2 linked regions of the Astyanax mexicanus genome follow. The protein of the gene in region 1 purifies or fractionates together with the protein of each later gene. This does not show direct contact. Links are inferred from orthologs where the notes say so. Each region holds a gene or a part of one and is shown on either strand. Other genes may lie near its edges.

Region 1 (8,156 bases):
CCCCTACTCCTTATCCCTTACTGTACTCCCCAAACCATATTCACTATAACCTCCTCCCTATACCCCACTACATATAAACTACTCACTGTAACCTACTTCTTATACCCTACTCTACTTCCTACACCATATTCCCTATACACTACTCACTATACCCTGTTCCCTATACCTCACTCTACTTCCTACACCCTACTCCCTACAAACTAATCCCTGTACCTTACTCTCTATAATGTACTCCCTATATCTGACTCTCTATACACTACTCTATATGCCCTACTCTACTCTCTGCACCCTACTCCCTATAAACTACTCCCTGTACCCTACTCTCTGCACCCTACTCCCTATTAACTACTCCCTGTACCCTATTCTCTGTACCCTACTGCCTGTACCCTACCCATTATAACCTATTCTATATAGCATACTATACTTCCTATACCACACTCCATATACCCTAATCCCTATAATATGACCATTACAATATGCTTCCTATAATATGCTCCCTATAATATGCTCCCTATACCCTATTCCCTTTAAACCATTCCCTATACCCTACTCTTTATACCCTACTTCCTACACTACCCTACTTCCTATCAACTTCCCTCTATACTTTACTCTACTTCCTATACTCTACATCATATATCCTACTTACTATACTTTACTCACTATACCCTACTTCCTGTACCCTCTGTACCCTACTCCTTATACCCTACTACCTATCAACTTCTCTCTATACCTCACTCTACTTCTTCTACGTCCCGTCCCCCCGTCCCGCTCACCTGTGCTCCTGCAGGGCGTGGGACAGGTCGATGTTGGACACCACGTCACCGTACACCAGCACGAAATCCGACCGGACCAGAGACTTAGCGTCCACGTCCCGCAGGACGTCCCCCAGGGAGCGGTAAAGGTCCGACGTGATGATGTGGACCGTGTTCGGAGACGTGGGACGACACCACTTAGACTTCCTGTAGAGCAAAATGTAAAATGGAAAGTGAGATTTTCAAATGGATTTAAAAAAATGTCGGATTTTGTTCGGTGTCATTTATTCAATCTTTTTACAACAATTTTGCTGAAAGTGCTGCCTACTTTTTTATCCAATCAGAACAGTGGGATCTAACAACATAGCGCAACACTACTATGTAGTGGGCGGAGCTTAAATACAACACAAAATTAACCACTTCTGACACCAATCTTTACATCTAAAGAATAAAAATCAATACTCTGCGATACTCTAAAATATGGATATTTTACTTTCTCACAGCCCTCCTGATTAACAGTGAAGGGTAAGAACAGTAAAGTGTCTCACAGTAAATGGTCTTTGATCTTGTTGGACATCCAGCAGCAGAAGACGAATGTCTCCTGAACTCCTGTGGACGTCAGGAACTCCAGAGTGTAGTCGATCATGGAGACGTTGGCCAGAGGCAGCAGAGCCTGAAAGAAGAGGTGGAGAAGAACAGAGTCAGAGAGGCTGGAAAAAACAACTGCTGCAACTAATCAGTACTCGGGTACTCGAATAATCTGACCAACTTTATTTCGATAAGTTGAATAATCAACAATTATTCTTCATCTTTGCTTCCTGCAGGATCCTGTTCCAGTCCATGTTGTACCTCAACAGCTAATTCCAGTCTCTGCCTTAATATAACTAAACATTACGCAATGCAACGTAACGTAACATAACGTAACGCAACATAAAGTAACGCAACATAACGTAACGCAACATAACGTAACGCAACATAATGTAACACAACATAATGTAACACAACATAATGTAACGTAACGCAACATAAAGTAACGCAACATAACGTAACGCAACATAATGTAACACAACATAATGTAACACAACATAATGTAACACAACATAATGTAACGTAACGTAACGCAACATAAAGTAACGCAACATAACGTAACACAACATAACGTAACACAACATAACGTAACACAACATAACAGAACACAATGGAAAGCAACGTAACGTAATATAGCTCAACATAAAGCAACATAACACAACATAACGTAACACAACTTAACATAAAGTAACATAACGCAATGTAAAGCAGCGTAACGCAACATATACACCCCTATAGTGGATTACTGTACACCCTGCAAGATATCGGAGTTTGAAATGTAGTTATGAATATGAAATTACTTCAATAAATTACAAATACACAGAAAAATACTTAAGTACAGTAACTAATTACATTTACTGTTCAGTGCTGTATATTAATGACTGTAATCCACATGCAGTGACTGCAGCCCAGCACATAAACACACTAAGTTATATATCCAGAATCATGTAAACACATCATTTAACCTGTATTTTAATAAACGTTTTATACACATCAACACGCATTCCCTATAGTACTTAATAATACCATAATGGTATACTAATAAAATCCTGACAATATGTTACAGTTATGATAATAATAATACAGTGTTTTATTATCTGATGCAATTCTGGACTCATATTTAGCTAATAGACTCTGTATTAAACTAATATATCACATTTAATGAGTTTAATCTTTATTATAACATTAATGACATGCTTAAAACAGTATTTAAAGAGTTATAAAGTCTTAATAATGTCAAAGTTTACGTGAGTTTGAATGAGGTAAACATTCTACAGCTACAGCTAAGCTAAGCTAAACTGTCACTGTACATATGGGAACATGAGGGTAAAAACTATGCTAAGCTAAGCTATGCTAACCTGATACCAAAACATAAGGCAAAATGATTGTAAAAACTAAGCTAAGGTAACATGCTAAGATAAGCTAGCCTGTTACCCTTTATAAGGAAAAATGACTGTAAAAACTATGCTAAGCTAACGCGCTAAGCTAGCCGGTACCCGCGCGGAGGGCAGGCGGGCGGTAGAGCTGCGCTCCCCGGGCTGAGAGCTGGGTTTACCCGCGGCTGGTCCTTGGAGATGGGGAAGAAGCGGCGGTTGAAGCTGTCCGCCACCAGAACCGCCTGCAGCGGCAGCTGCTCCTCATCCTGCGGCTCCGCTCCGCCGCGGCGCTGCTTACCCGCTTTAGCCGACATCCTCACCCTCCACCCCGGCCACAGAGATCCAAAACACACGCTGAGCCCCGGAGAGAACCTGACTAGGGGGCGTCTCATTCAGAGCCATACTGCCTATACCCTATACACTACTCCCTGTTCCCTACTCCCTCTACCATACTCCCTATAAATATTACACACTCCCTATACCATACTCCCTATAAATATAACACTCTCTATATACCATACTCCATTTAATTTACTCCCTATACACTACTCCCTATTAATTACTCCCTATACATATAACACACTCTATATACTATACTCCATTTAATTTACTCCCTATACACTACTCCCTATAAACTACTCCCTTTAACACACTTTATTTAAAATACTCCCTATACCCTATTCCCTATAACATACTGCCTATAGCCTACTCCCTTTTTAATTACTAACTATACCCTAATCCTTATAATATACTCAGAGGCGGTCTTTGCATAGAGGCATTGCTAGGCAACTGCCTTGGGCCCCTCCCACTGCAGCCCACTGTAGGGGCCCCATACTTAGCTGCAAATTCCCATTGGCCTACAGCTGGTAATTGGGGCCCTTTGGACAGTAATTCACAGATAGTGATTCATAAATGGTGATTCTTGTGTGTTTAAAATGGAAACAAAGACAACACAATAAATTACAAAGAAATACAGATTCTGTCCACACCCCCTCTCTTTCGCGTTAAAATGGAATATTCCATCCATGCCATGTGGTCATGCCGGTGAACCGCGAACTGCTGCTTGTGAAAGACGGAATTAAGGTGAAATTAAGTGTACAAGTGGGATGTGAGCGAAAAAAGAAAAAAGAGGCTAAACTTTACTAGTTACTAACGGAGTTACCCCACTATAAATGTAACTAGTAAAAGTAATTGACTTACTTTAAATTATGTAAATTCTATTATTTTTATTAGAAAAATAACAAACGAAAATAAAACCCAAAATGTTGACAAAAATAGAATCTAACGAATTTCAAAACATAGAAACGAAAAACGTTAAAATGGTATTGATATAACATAATATAATATAACAGCTGCATCAAACAGTTTAGCGTCAGTCACATGGAAAGCACGCGCGGCATTGCATTTTAAAAAAATAATAAATAAGATCCTATCAAGTGAAGTAAAATATATGGTAGTAAAAAAATATTAAATTCACATATTTATTGATATTTAAACAAGAGAAATCAGGCAAAATGCGCCGCGCCGCACTGCGCTGCCCGCGCGCTCTCTCTCGCGCTCTCTCTCGCGCTCTCTCTCGCTCTCTCTTCCGCAGCGCGGAGCTGAATTCAGCGCGAGGCTAGAAATAATTTGAAAACTCAGTTTAGTTAAATAAATTAAGATGAGTGAGGACCTGTAAAGTATAAAGTATAGGTTGAGGTTTTGGGGAGCTGTTTCAATTATTTGAAACTGAAACTAACTGAAACTGATATTATTCTGCGCACTATTAGATAGCTTTTGATTGTGTTTTAAATGAGTTTTTATTTTATATTAATTATTTTTTATTCATTTTAAATATTTTTTTATTGATGGGCCCCCAAGCTAAATTCGCCTTGAGCCCCCAAATTGCTAAGTCCGCCACTGAATATACTCCATATACCTTCCTCCCTATAACCTACACCCTTTAACACACTCCACTTAAAATACTCTGTATACCCTATACCCTACTCCTTATAACATACTGCCAATTATATACTCCCTATAACATACTCTCTGTACCCTACTGACTTTAAATTACTCCCTATACCCTACCACCTATAATGTAATACCTATACCATGCTCCCTATTACCATATTCTCTATATCATAAAGTTACTCCCTACACCCTATATCCTACTTCTCTTACTCTACTCCATTTAAGTTCCCTATAACTGATTCCCTAGAACCTACTCCCTATTCCCTATATCCTATTCCCTATACCCTACTTCCCATAACCTACTGCCTATAATATACTCCCTATAATCTAATACATATACCATGCTCCCTGTGTCCTACTCCCTATACCCGATTCCCTTTAAATTACTCCCTATAAATTACTACCTATACCCTACTCTCTATGACCTACTTCCTATTCCATATGCTGCCTTTAAATTTATACAATATATTATATGTGAAGCAGAGTGTTAAAAAAAACAGTTTTTTTTAAATATGTGCCCATAAAATCCATATATGTGCACGAGGCAACACTTTCCTATAATTATAACTTACTCCCTTTACCATACTCCTTATTTCATATTCCCTCTACTCTATTCCCTAAGTCAAACCTTACTCCCTATAATTATAATCTACTCTCTATAGCATACTCTATATACCCTACTCCCTATACTCTACTCCCTATCCATATCTCACACCTTACTCCCATAATCATAATCTACTCCCTATAGCATACTCTTCATACCATACTCCCTATATCCTACTCCCTATAGCATACTCTTCATACCATACTCCCTATACCCTACTCCCTATACCATACTCCCTATAGCATACTCTTCATACCATACTCCCTATATCCTACTCCCTATAGCATACTCTTCATACCATACTCCATATAGCATACTCTTCATACCATACTCCCTATACCCTACTCCCTATAGCATACTCTTCATACCATACTCCCTATAGCATACTCTTCATACCATACTCCCTATAGCATACTCTTCATACCATACTCCCTATACCCTACTCCCTATAGCATACTCTTCATACCATACTCCCTATACCCTACTCCCTATAGCATACTCTTCATACCATACTCACTATACCCTACTCTCTACTCCCTATATCATATCTCACACCCTACTCCCTATACCCTACTCCCTATACCCTATACCCTACTCCCTATTCCCTACTCTCTACTACCTATATCATATCCCACACCCTACTCCCTATACCCTATACCCTACTCCCTATTCCCTACTCCCTATACCATATCTTGCACCCTACTCCCTAAGTTTAATTGGAGAAAAAAATAATACTAGTTCATGTGAAGTTTGCTGGCTTTAGTCTGGAATGTTATTTTAAATGTTATTTAAAAGTATAAATTATCCTTTTATTTTACATTATTTTTTAGAGTGGTGGTACTGGTTCTCTGCAGGCATTAAAACATTCTTTTTATAAAAACACACACAAAACAAATTAACTCAGAACGAGCACTGTAAACCCAAAACAACACACCAGCAGAATGATCCTTAACAAATGTCTTTAATTCCAAAACAGTGAATCTCCATCATGTTCTCTAACGGCAGAGCGCCAGTTTACCTGGACGGTGCGGCTCATGGTAGCAGGTTAAATATCAGCAGGAATATTTACAGCAGTTCTACATACATACAGTGTACCATCAGATACAGAGCAGTTCCACCTTAACAGCCCCTTCACCAATCAGAGGGTGCGTGTAGTACCCCCACCAATCAGTACGGTCCTAAACTCAGCGCATGCAGGAGATACAGGGCTGGATATACAGAACAGCACACTGATCAGGATTAAACATCTCAACCTATAAAAACTGGATGCTTAAATACTGTAACTGGATTGATGTGAATATATTGACTTTTGGGGCAGATTTACTAAAACAGCCGTAAATCTATTTTCCACAGATCAGAGGAATTTAGTCACTGTTTGATTGTAGTTATTGATATTAATTTATTTACACATATTGTAACGGGGGGAGAGTAGCGTCTTGGTCATTTCCACTCTGCTGGATCAGAACACTTCTACTGAACTATATAACTCAACCACCTTTACAAGTTTTATATGTTTAAAAAAAAAGTCAACGTCATACACGAGTAAACTGTTAGATTAAGCACTAGGTATGAAAGGTGATGAATAGTTGGCAATACTTTGCAAAGTTATCAAAATACACAAGAGTATTTAAACAAACAAACAAAGCTAACGAGTAACAGCTGTATAGAATTAGTACTCAGGTGATGCAGAGCAGATGAACTGTTCATGATTGGGAAAACGATTATGCATGCTGACAGCATACAAGTCTGCTTGAATGATGGGAGTTGTAGTTTTAGTGGTTTTAGTGCGAAAGTAACCACATGATGTGTATTTACTGCAGTGGAGCAAAAAGTGAATTAAATTCCCCACCTGTAGGGGGAGCCCCAAAGCCGTGAGAGCACAACGTATCAGTTTTCACATAGTGGTGCTAATAAATTAGTGAAATTACTAAATTTTGTATCTACACACAATTTTACATACATTCTTTCTCTAACATTTTGTTAACATAAGAGATTTGTTTGTGAAAAAAAAAACTTTCAAATCTTGATGATTTCCTTGCTTGCTGCAGATAGTCTAATTATATGTGGATTCATACTTTAGGAAGCGGCAGTATTATGTGGGATTTGGTATTTTAGCTCCTGGGCTCCCCCTACAGGTGAGGAGTGCAATTCAGTACAAGTCTTTTACTCCACTGCAGTAAATACAAGTCACGCTTTGAACGCCCCCTTGTGGACAAGCTGAGAGATCCAGAAAGATCACCTGTAGTTGTGAAAGTTTCTTTGATCCGGATCAGTTGATGAATTTGTTTGTTTGGAGCTTCGGTTTCTCCCTCTGTTTGGTTTGGTTTCACACAGGCACAAATCTAAACGCACCAAAATACGCACCAATAAACCACGCAAGCACATTGTCTCCTCTGATTGGTCAGAGCTGTCTGGCGCAGGAGCAAGAAAGTGAAGATTCTGTGCTCCAGCGTGTATATCTATTTATCTGTTTTAACACAGAATGCTGAAAATGTGCGTCGGTGCTTTTAAACTCAGTGTTTTTTAATGATAGTCGTGTGACCGTGAGCAGTGAATGCAGCACAGACCATGTGTGTAAACAGCATGGAGCAGCAGACACAGCATTTGTTCATAGCTGTGGTAATTAGCGTTATCTGGCTAATATATCAGATTAAACTGCACCTTATCAGCAGTTTAGCTGTAATAAAAGGAGTATATTTAATATCTGGGTCGGATCGAGACCAGATCATGTTCTCACCACAAGAGAACCGATCCAGAGTTCGTTTTGATCTGCATCCGATTACGATTACTGTTTTCACACCTGTTCAATCGAACCGCACTAAGAGTACAAACCAACCAGAGTCAGATTTAACCAAACCAAATAGTGCTGGTGTAAAACTCCCT
Region 2 (7,865 bases), on another chromosome or scaffold:
TATAGGTAGTTTTAAGTCATGTCTATAAAGTAAAAAAGCTTTTGAATGTGGTGATTTCATAAATATTGCCAGGGGGTGGAGAGTTGCCTGCAAATGAAAACATCCAAACACAATGCTTTAAAAATGAATAATTAAAACAAGCTTACCTTCCAGTTCTTTAGAGACTCTGTGAATATCTGAACGTACCCATTTAGAAAAACTCTAAAGATGGCATTTCAGTACAAAAACATGAACTGTGTTTATTAGGAAAACACAATTAGGAATGTATTGCAGGTGTAATTTTTAATTGTTAAAGGATACAGCAGAGAGCTTTGGCGAGAGATCCAGCCAGTAAGGTGTCCGTTTGGTGACCTTTTACCTGTGCTTTAATAGAGAAAAATAAAAAGTTAGGTTTCAGTTTCAGTTAGAAAAATAATTACATCATTAATTTTAGCTCATAATGCTGAATTCACAGTTAAAAATAATCTTAAAGACGAAGAAATTACTGTATTTATGTTGCATAATACGCTGATGAATCTAAATAGATAGATAGATAGATAGATAGATAGATAGACAGATAGATAGATAGATAGATAAATGCATAAATGCTCATGTATCGTAGGAAACTGAGTAGCATTTCTTTATCTAGAGAAATTAATGCCTGTGTCCCGATAAGTGCACTATTTTATCATGCTATTTAGTCTGCAGTTTAAGACACAGTTTCTGTTTGCAGAGGGTGTGGCCATCTTTGAAACCCACCGGCCCACATTATGCAAATCAGTGCATTTCCATAAGCAATGATATTAATGATGTCAACGAGTCTCCCCAGCCCTACTGTCCTTACTATGGCACACATTAACAAAACATTGTAACATACTGAGTAAAATTCCAGTGGATATTCAAATGGAATCTTTGTTTGTATGAAATAATATGTAAGCTGTGTAACTTACTTCTAGCCATGAGATTCCTGATCTCCTCAGCAACGAGATCATTCGCTACAGACAGGAGCTCATATTTGCCATCACCACTGCCAGACGACACCTCATCCCCTGCAACGTCCCCCGCTTTCCAGTGCTTGTTTGGGTACAGAAAGTGACTTCAGGAGGAAAGGAGAGATGAAATCAAGATACACCTTTCAATCCCAGCTTCCTATCTGAATATTCTTTTACTAACAACAGGCATTCAGTTAAGTATACACAGATTGTCTAATTCTTACAGAAAAGCATCGCTAACAGCCTTTGCTAATGCTATGTCATTTTCAGATTTAAACACTCTAGACTATCAATTTCCACCAAGACTTCTCAGCTGTAAAATGTTTTGATAGCATTTACAGCCAAAAACAAAAAAAAAATAAGACAGGTTTACAGTGTTTTTTTTTATCAAAACATAAAGAAATGTTTTAAGTATGAATGCTGTGCCAAGGTCCTGGACAATGTTTACTGACAAACAGCAATGTCATACATTTAGATCTATGAATTTATTGTTATATTTTGTTCACCTGTAGTAATGACAAATCATCATGATTAAAACTAGCCATCAACTTCAGGGTACTCCCTAGTCCCACATCCACATCTTACCTCTCCTGACAATGGCTGGCAATGATGGCCAGTTTGTTGGTTCTGGTCATAACCAAGTGAGAGTTTGCCATGACCATCACAGCATCCAGGCATTTTGAGAGATTAAACTAAGAAAAATGAAAACAAGTTAAGGTTAGCTGAAAGAACACACGCACACAAACACAAACACACACACACACACACACACACACACACACACACACACACACACAAACACACACACACCTACCTCAGGTTCTCTCTGTGCCTGCTGACCCCACCAAATTGGGTTGACATCCACCACAATTACCAGAAGACTGACCTCATCTTCTGTAGACCAAAAGACATAGATATATTAATAAAAGCTACAATCCAGATAACTGCTCATCGCTCAGCATCTGTTAACCCTCTGTTTACCTTTACTGATATATGGCAGTGAAAGTAAATCTCACTGCTTTTCTGTGATTAAAAGGAAATTTCACTGTATATTAATTGCTACTGAACAGATGGCCTGATGTTTAGACACTAAGTTAAATGGAAGAGCTGATGTTAGGCTCTGTACAGTGAAGGAAAGGCCTGATATTTAGACGTGTTGTGCATGGTGTTCAGCTCTGCATGAACATAGCAATCAGTCCCTGTGTCAAACAATCCTTAGGTGTCCCAAAGTCTCTGAGAAGGTATAGGAGTAGAAAAGAGTAGATGAAAAAGTCTACTGGCCTGTGTACAATGGAATGTGAACAAAAGGTCTGATGTTTAGACTCTGTATATTAAATTAAAGGCCTGATGTTGAGATTGCGTACACTGAATAAAAGACCTGATATTTAGACTGGACTGTATGTTAAAGGAAGGGTCTGATTGTTAGACTCTGTATGCTGAAGAAATGGTCTGATGTTTAGAATCGTACATTGAACAAAAGGCCTGATGTTTAGAGTCTGTATGGATGTGTGATTTAAGATTAACATTTCTGGTGATAACTACAATAACATCACTGTACAGTCTATGAAAACATCTTTAGATCTATAAAAGAAAAGCAATCACTTGCAATGTGCCACTATACATCACAACAAGACTCAATATTAATGTAAACGATCAGGTACCATATGTGTTTAATGAACTGGAGGTACATTTTTACTATCCAGACTATATTACCAAGATTATTCACTTGCCTGCATTTCGTTTAGAGATGTAAGGCTTGGACAGAGCTGCTAAGCAATGGAAACCCATTGCATGAAGCTCTCTAAACTCTGTTTTTGAGCTAATCTGAAGTTACATGAAGTTTGGAGGTGTGTAGTCATGTGGTTCCTCTGTGCACTATACTCTATATAGCATCCACTGACCCCGCTCTGTTATTTTACACTGACAGAGCACAGAGTCGCTGTCATTCCCAGTCTCTTCCACTGTGTTATAATATTACTAGCAGTTGGCTGTGGAATATATTTAGTAGTGAGGAAATTTCACGACTGGACTTGTTGCACAGGTGCTGCCTCCGTTTACTGTACCACGCTGGAGTTCACTGAGCTCCTTTATAGAACAGTCTGCATGCCAAGCTGCTTGTTTTTTTAACCAAACCTGTGGCCAATGTGTGAGTGAACGGTTTTGGCAACGTAGTGTATATATCTACCCAAATGTCCAGTTTTTATTCATAAGAAACAGAAGGCTGACTAAGGCTAAAAGGATTTTGTTTAGCTGTGGAAGAAGAGGCAGAGTCAGAGCTGTTAGTAGATAAAGTAGAAAAGGAGGCTGGACAGTAGCTAAATAAGAAAAGGGAGAGGTCAGAAGACAAACCTTCTCATTCAGTGTTTTTATTTCTTTCTTTATGTAATTTATGTTCGACAGTAGATTAATATTAAACACACGAAAACAATTAAGGGATACATATGGAATTACGTAATAAACAGTAAAAAAAACCCTGATCTAATCCTGATCAACTTCAAATCAATTCAATTAAAATTTTATAAATATAGCACTTTTTACAACAAATGTGGTCACAAAGCAGCTTTACAAAGAAAAAAAGGTCTACGCCTCTTATTAGGGAGCACCACAGAGATGCCAATAATTGTGGCGACAACAGGGGCAAGGAAACACTCCCTTACATTATGAGGAAGAAACCTTAGCAAGAACCAAGACTCAGTCAGAGTCTACTCGGTTTGACCCGCTCAGTACAAAACATTAACAAATAACAAACAAATAACAGAACAAAACAACAGTACAGTACAGAGAGATAACGTTGTGGAGCTATTGCTAATGTAAAACAGGTTCTGAGTTCTAAATGTGAGTAGATCTTGTCTCTAGTTTTGCCCAAGAACTCTTATTGACATAGCACAGCATTTTAGTCACCCAGACCTGTTTCCCACACATGATGTGGTAGCTTACTAGAAGGTAGTGGTGTTATCCACTGCGCCACACTAACCACCTCCAGGAACTCCTTTAAAACGCTGAGAAAACTATTCCAGGTGACTATAGCTCATGAAGACACTGAGATTAAAATACCAAGAGTGTGCAGTTAAAAAAATATATTATTTTATTTAAGTTCTATTTGTATTTTTTTTATTCATTTGTGAAGCACTTTGAATGACCGTCGTGTATGAAAGGTGCTATATAAATAAACTTGCCTTGCCTTGGTATTTGACTGTATTTTATAAAAACCGGAGAGCCCTCTCACAGTGCAGCAGCTCTACAGCGCTAGGCTAAGCTAGCTAACTTTAGCAAATGTAAGTAACTAGGTCCGCTATCTAGAGTAGCCAAAAGCAAGGTTCGCAGCGGGTATTTAACTGTATTTAAACTAATTAACTGTATCTGTACTGCCTCCTCCCCGGTGATCCTGTAGCTCAGTTTTAGCTCGGGTTATTTCTGTTAAACGGAGCCGGTTCTCTCACCTGAGGCCATCGCTTCCTCCAGAGCTCGCTCGCGCCGGTTGTTGTCATGTGTGACGTGATCATTAGGGGACGGCTGGGTGAGTGGATTCACGCTGAGTTGTGTGGAGCTGATTTTTAGTACTACAGGAATTACAGGATAAACCCTGATCCTGCAGCCCGCTTTCTACTGTACTGTACTGTACTGTACCTCCGCTGTACTTCTGATCTGTGCGCTGTAGTGAAGCCGCTGCTCCAGAGCGCGGGGACTGCCGGGCGTTGCGTCAGCATCAGCAGCGTGCTGTGGACCTGCTGTGGAACTGGTGTTGAACCCAGGGCAGGTTACAGGTCTGATCACTGAACCCTGACCCTGATCCTGCTCTTTACCACATTTTCATCTTCACACCAGAGGAGTGGACTTTGCGGGATGGATGAAGGGGGTATGTTCTGTTCTGCTTCTCTGTCGTTGACTTGTGATTTTTGTTTTGTTTTCATCCACAGTGATCAAATGTCAACCTGTTCATTACTGTGTTTCTGAGTTCTGACACAAAAAATAACGTTTAATCTACTTAAGCTACATGTGAAGAAAAAAAAACTGATTAAACTGACACACACACCTACGGAGCCCCTGAAGGGACATTGTGTATTTTCTTTTACGTTAAAAAGTGTTGAGCAACACATTCAGTGGTGGAAGTTTTCAGAGGGGAATGATTCAGTTAGGTACCTATAGGTAGCTGTAAGCCCAGAGTTATCAATAGCCAGCTAGCTAACTCTTATTAGAAGTGCACAAAGAAGGTATCATTTTGTAGTAAAAGGCACTAGCTACATGTGAGAAAAAAACTGAGTAAAACTGATACACACCAGTTGAAAACCAGTAAATTGGAATTATTAAAAAAAATATATGTAATATTTGTATAAGTACATATAAACTTTTAGGTAAGAGTGTGTCTTATTTTAGCCCAATTTAGCCATATGTTTTTACATACATGAAAAGTAGCATAAAAAGTTTGAGTACCCTTGGTCAGAATATGTTATGATAAAGAGCAGGTTGTGGAATTAAGGAAGAAAATGGTGGAGGTCATTAATAAATTAAAATTGTAGTGTATGTAGTTTGGTTTGTTGCCTCGTCTAAGGTGGCCACTGGCAGTTTATGATATTCCGATTTCTGAGGTTGAGAGGTTAGAAAGGGTTATGAACAAGGCTATAAGGACATGGGGTTGTCGTGTTGCCTCAGTAATGGCGTGGTGTGGGAGAGGAGTGCTGGAACTGCCATTGACGAGCTTGGTTGAGGAGTTCAAATGTGCTAAGGTAGGATGTGAGATGCAGTTTTTAGGGTCAAAAGACGGGCAGTTTAAAGCAATGGCAGCAGTGACTAGGTCAGGGAGAAAGTGGAATCCTCGAGAAGCAAGAAGTGCAAAATGAGTAAACAGGGGCAGTGGATGAGATGGGAAAGTGTAGAGAAGCGGAGAATCACCTGGCGAGAGTTATGCGAGAAGTTTCTTTTGGGAGCTACATATGATGTTTTGCCAATGCCACAAAACCTTGCTCAGTGGGTGGGTGAGGATCCAAGTTATAAGTTTCGTGCAGGAAGTGGCACGCTGAAGCACATTTTGTCGGCATGTAAGGTGAGCCTGTTTCAGGGGCGATACACATGGAGGCATAATCAGGTATATCTTTTGCGGGTGAACTTGATAAGAAGCGGTTAGAAGTTAATAACATGTTGGAGGTTGGTTGCAGTAGGGTAATTATGTTTGTGAGTGGGGAGCAGCATAGTGGAGAAAGAGCACAGTGCTTGAAAACTGCTGGTAAATGGGCTGATGCACGAGATTGGAAGTTGTTAGTGGATGTAGGTAGTAAGCTGCAGATTCCTTGAGGAATCTCCAGTACCTTAAGGCAAAGTAAAGTGAAAGTAAGCGGGTAGTGTATTTTATAGAGCTGACTGTTCCGTTTGAAGATGAGGTAGATGGAGCTTATGAAAGGAAAAGGTTAAAGAATGCAGAATTGGTGGCTGAGGTAAGAGAGCGTAGGTGGCAAGCATTAGACCGGTGGAGGTAGGTGCTAATGGTTTTGTGGCAAATTCTGCAACAAGACTGCTGTCTGAGTTCATAATTAGAGGTTGTGTGCTGAGGACAGTTGTGGAGGAGTTGTCAGAGGTAGCTGAAAGATCTAGTTAATGGTTGTGGTTCAGAAGGGCTGAGGTTAGGTAGGAAAGGGAATGTGTTTGAAGGTGCTTCAACAGCAAGCTTGGAGGGGGGTGGGGGTGGGTCTGGGACGGCAAACACTGATGAAGGAAGGTGCCTACCTGACGACCCCTGAGAAGAGCTTGCTCTGAAGTTTGTGTTTTAAAATATGGGAATGGGCTGGGTGTGAGTGCTAGGTGTGGTCTTTCTTGCTGGTCTTGTTGTAGTTTCACACCTGTTGGCTCCCCTGGACTGTACGGCAGGAGGGAGGTGAAATAGGTGAGCAGAATAGGTCAAGCTGGTCTAGAGAGTGTCCTGCTCAGTCTAGTGGCACTCTTCACTCTACTCTCTACTCTGTTCTCCACTAACCTGCTCATGGACCACAAGTCCAGTAGCAATGCTCAAGTCTTTTCGAGTGGGCAACATGCATCTAAGGGTAACTACACCAGGAGCACGTTCAAGCCTGAGTCCTATTAACTTATTTTCGGAAAAAAGTTTCTGCTTAGAACTCAAAATAAAATTGATTTGTGTGCTATTGTGTTCATAAAGTGTGCTGTGGTTGGTTGTTGTCTGCTCAAATATGTGCTAGTGTATACACTGGTGACCTACATGAAAAGGAATTGAGCCTATTCCACGTGCTTTTAATTTGAGAAGTATTGTGTTCATTATTTTAGACATGGCATTTAATTATAAGTGAGGGTTGATTTTAAACATATTGCTCCTCTGGTGATTTTTGACTGCAGAGTTGGTGGAGTATTTTAGGACGCAGATGAGCCAGGATCCTGATGTGGCCTCTGCTGTAGCTGCCATACGTTCACTTCTGGAGTTCCTGAAGCGAGATCAGAGTAAGTTACAATAATTACATTATCGAGTTCTGGCTGAAAGATTGAAACTGAAAGACAAATGTTTCAAGGATTAATTTTTTGTGTCACCAAAGATCTAACATAGACCTAAACGTTTATTTGCTCAAATATCTAACTAACTTGACTCTGATTATAGTTGCATCTTGCAAGTAGGTCTGTTTGCCTCTGCTGTCTTTGATTCATTGTATGATGCAATAAATTGTATTAATTTTGGGAAATAATATTTATCTGGATGATTTGCTGTTTTACAGGTGAGACCATCCTGGGCCTGAGAGAGAACCTGACCAAAGCCATCGGCCGTCTTCAGGAGGCTGATTCTTCAGTGGCTGTTTCCTCTGGAGGAGAACTCTTCTTACGATTCATCAGTCTTACCTCACTGGAGAATCCCGTTAGTCCCATAAAAACACACTTTATTTTCAAACAACTTTGAAGATT

Evidence for each region.
Region 2: the proteins of eif2b5 (region 1) and eif2b1 purify together in Homo sapiens (affinity purification with mass spectrometry; 7 studies listed by BioGRID and IntAct, counting the BioPlex papers as one, with this or other methods). This does not show direct contact. The link is inferred for Astyanax mexicanus from reciprocal best matches to the Homo sapiens genes EIF2B5 and EIF2B1.

What each region holds. Positions count from the first base shown.
Region 1 is NC_064415.1:806,138-814,293, forward strand, and holds the start of eif2b5 (translation initiation factor eIF-2B subunit epsilon), read right to left. Parts: upstream 3,112-8,156; 5' UTR 3,109-3,111; coding exon 2,896-3,108; intron 1,426-2,895; coding exon 1,301-1,425; intron 960-1,300; coding exon 774-959; intron 1-773. UniProt on the Homo sapiens protein: Acts as a component of the translation initiation factor 2B (eIF2B) complex, which catalyzes the exchange of GDP for GTP on eukaryotic initiation factor 2 (eIF2) gamma subunit.
Region 2 is NC_064429.1:3,006,565-3,014,429, forward strand, and holds the start of eif2b1 (translation initiation factor eIF-2B subunit alpha), read left to right. Parts: upstream 1-4,689; 5' UTR 4,690-4,814; coding exon 4,815-4,827; intron 4,828-7,310; coding exon 7,311-7,412; intron 7,413-7,681; coding exon 7,682-7,818; intron 7,819-7,865. Other genes in the region: gtf2h3 (general transcription factor IIH subunit 3), read right to left, coding at 147-176, 301-363, 930-1,075, 1,557-1,663, 1,786-1,865, 4,412-4,421.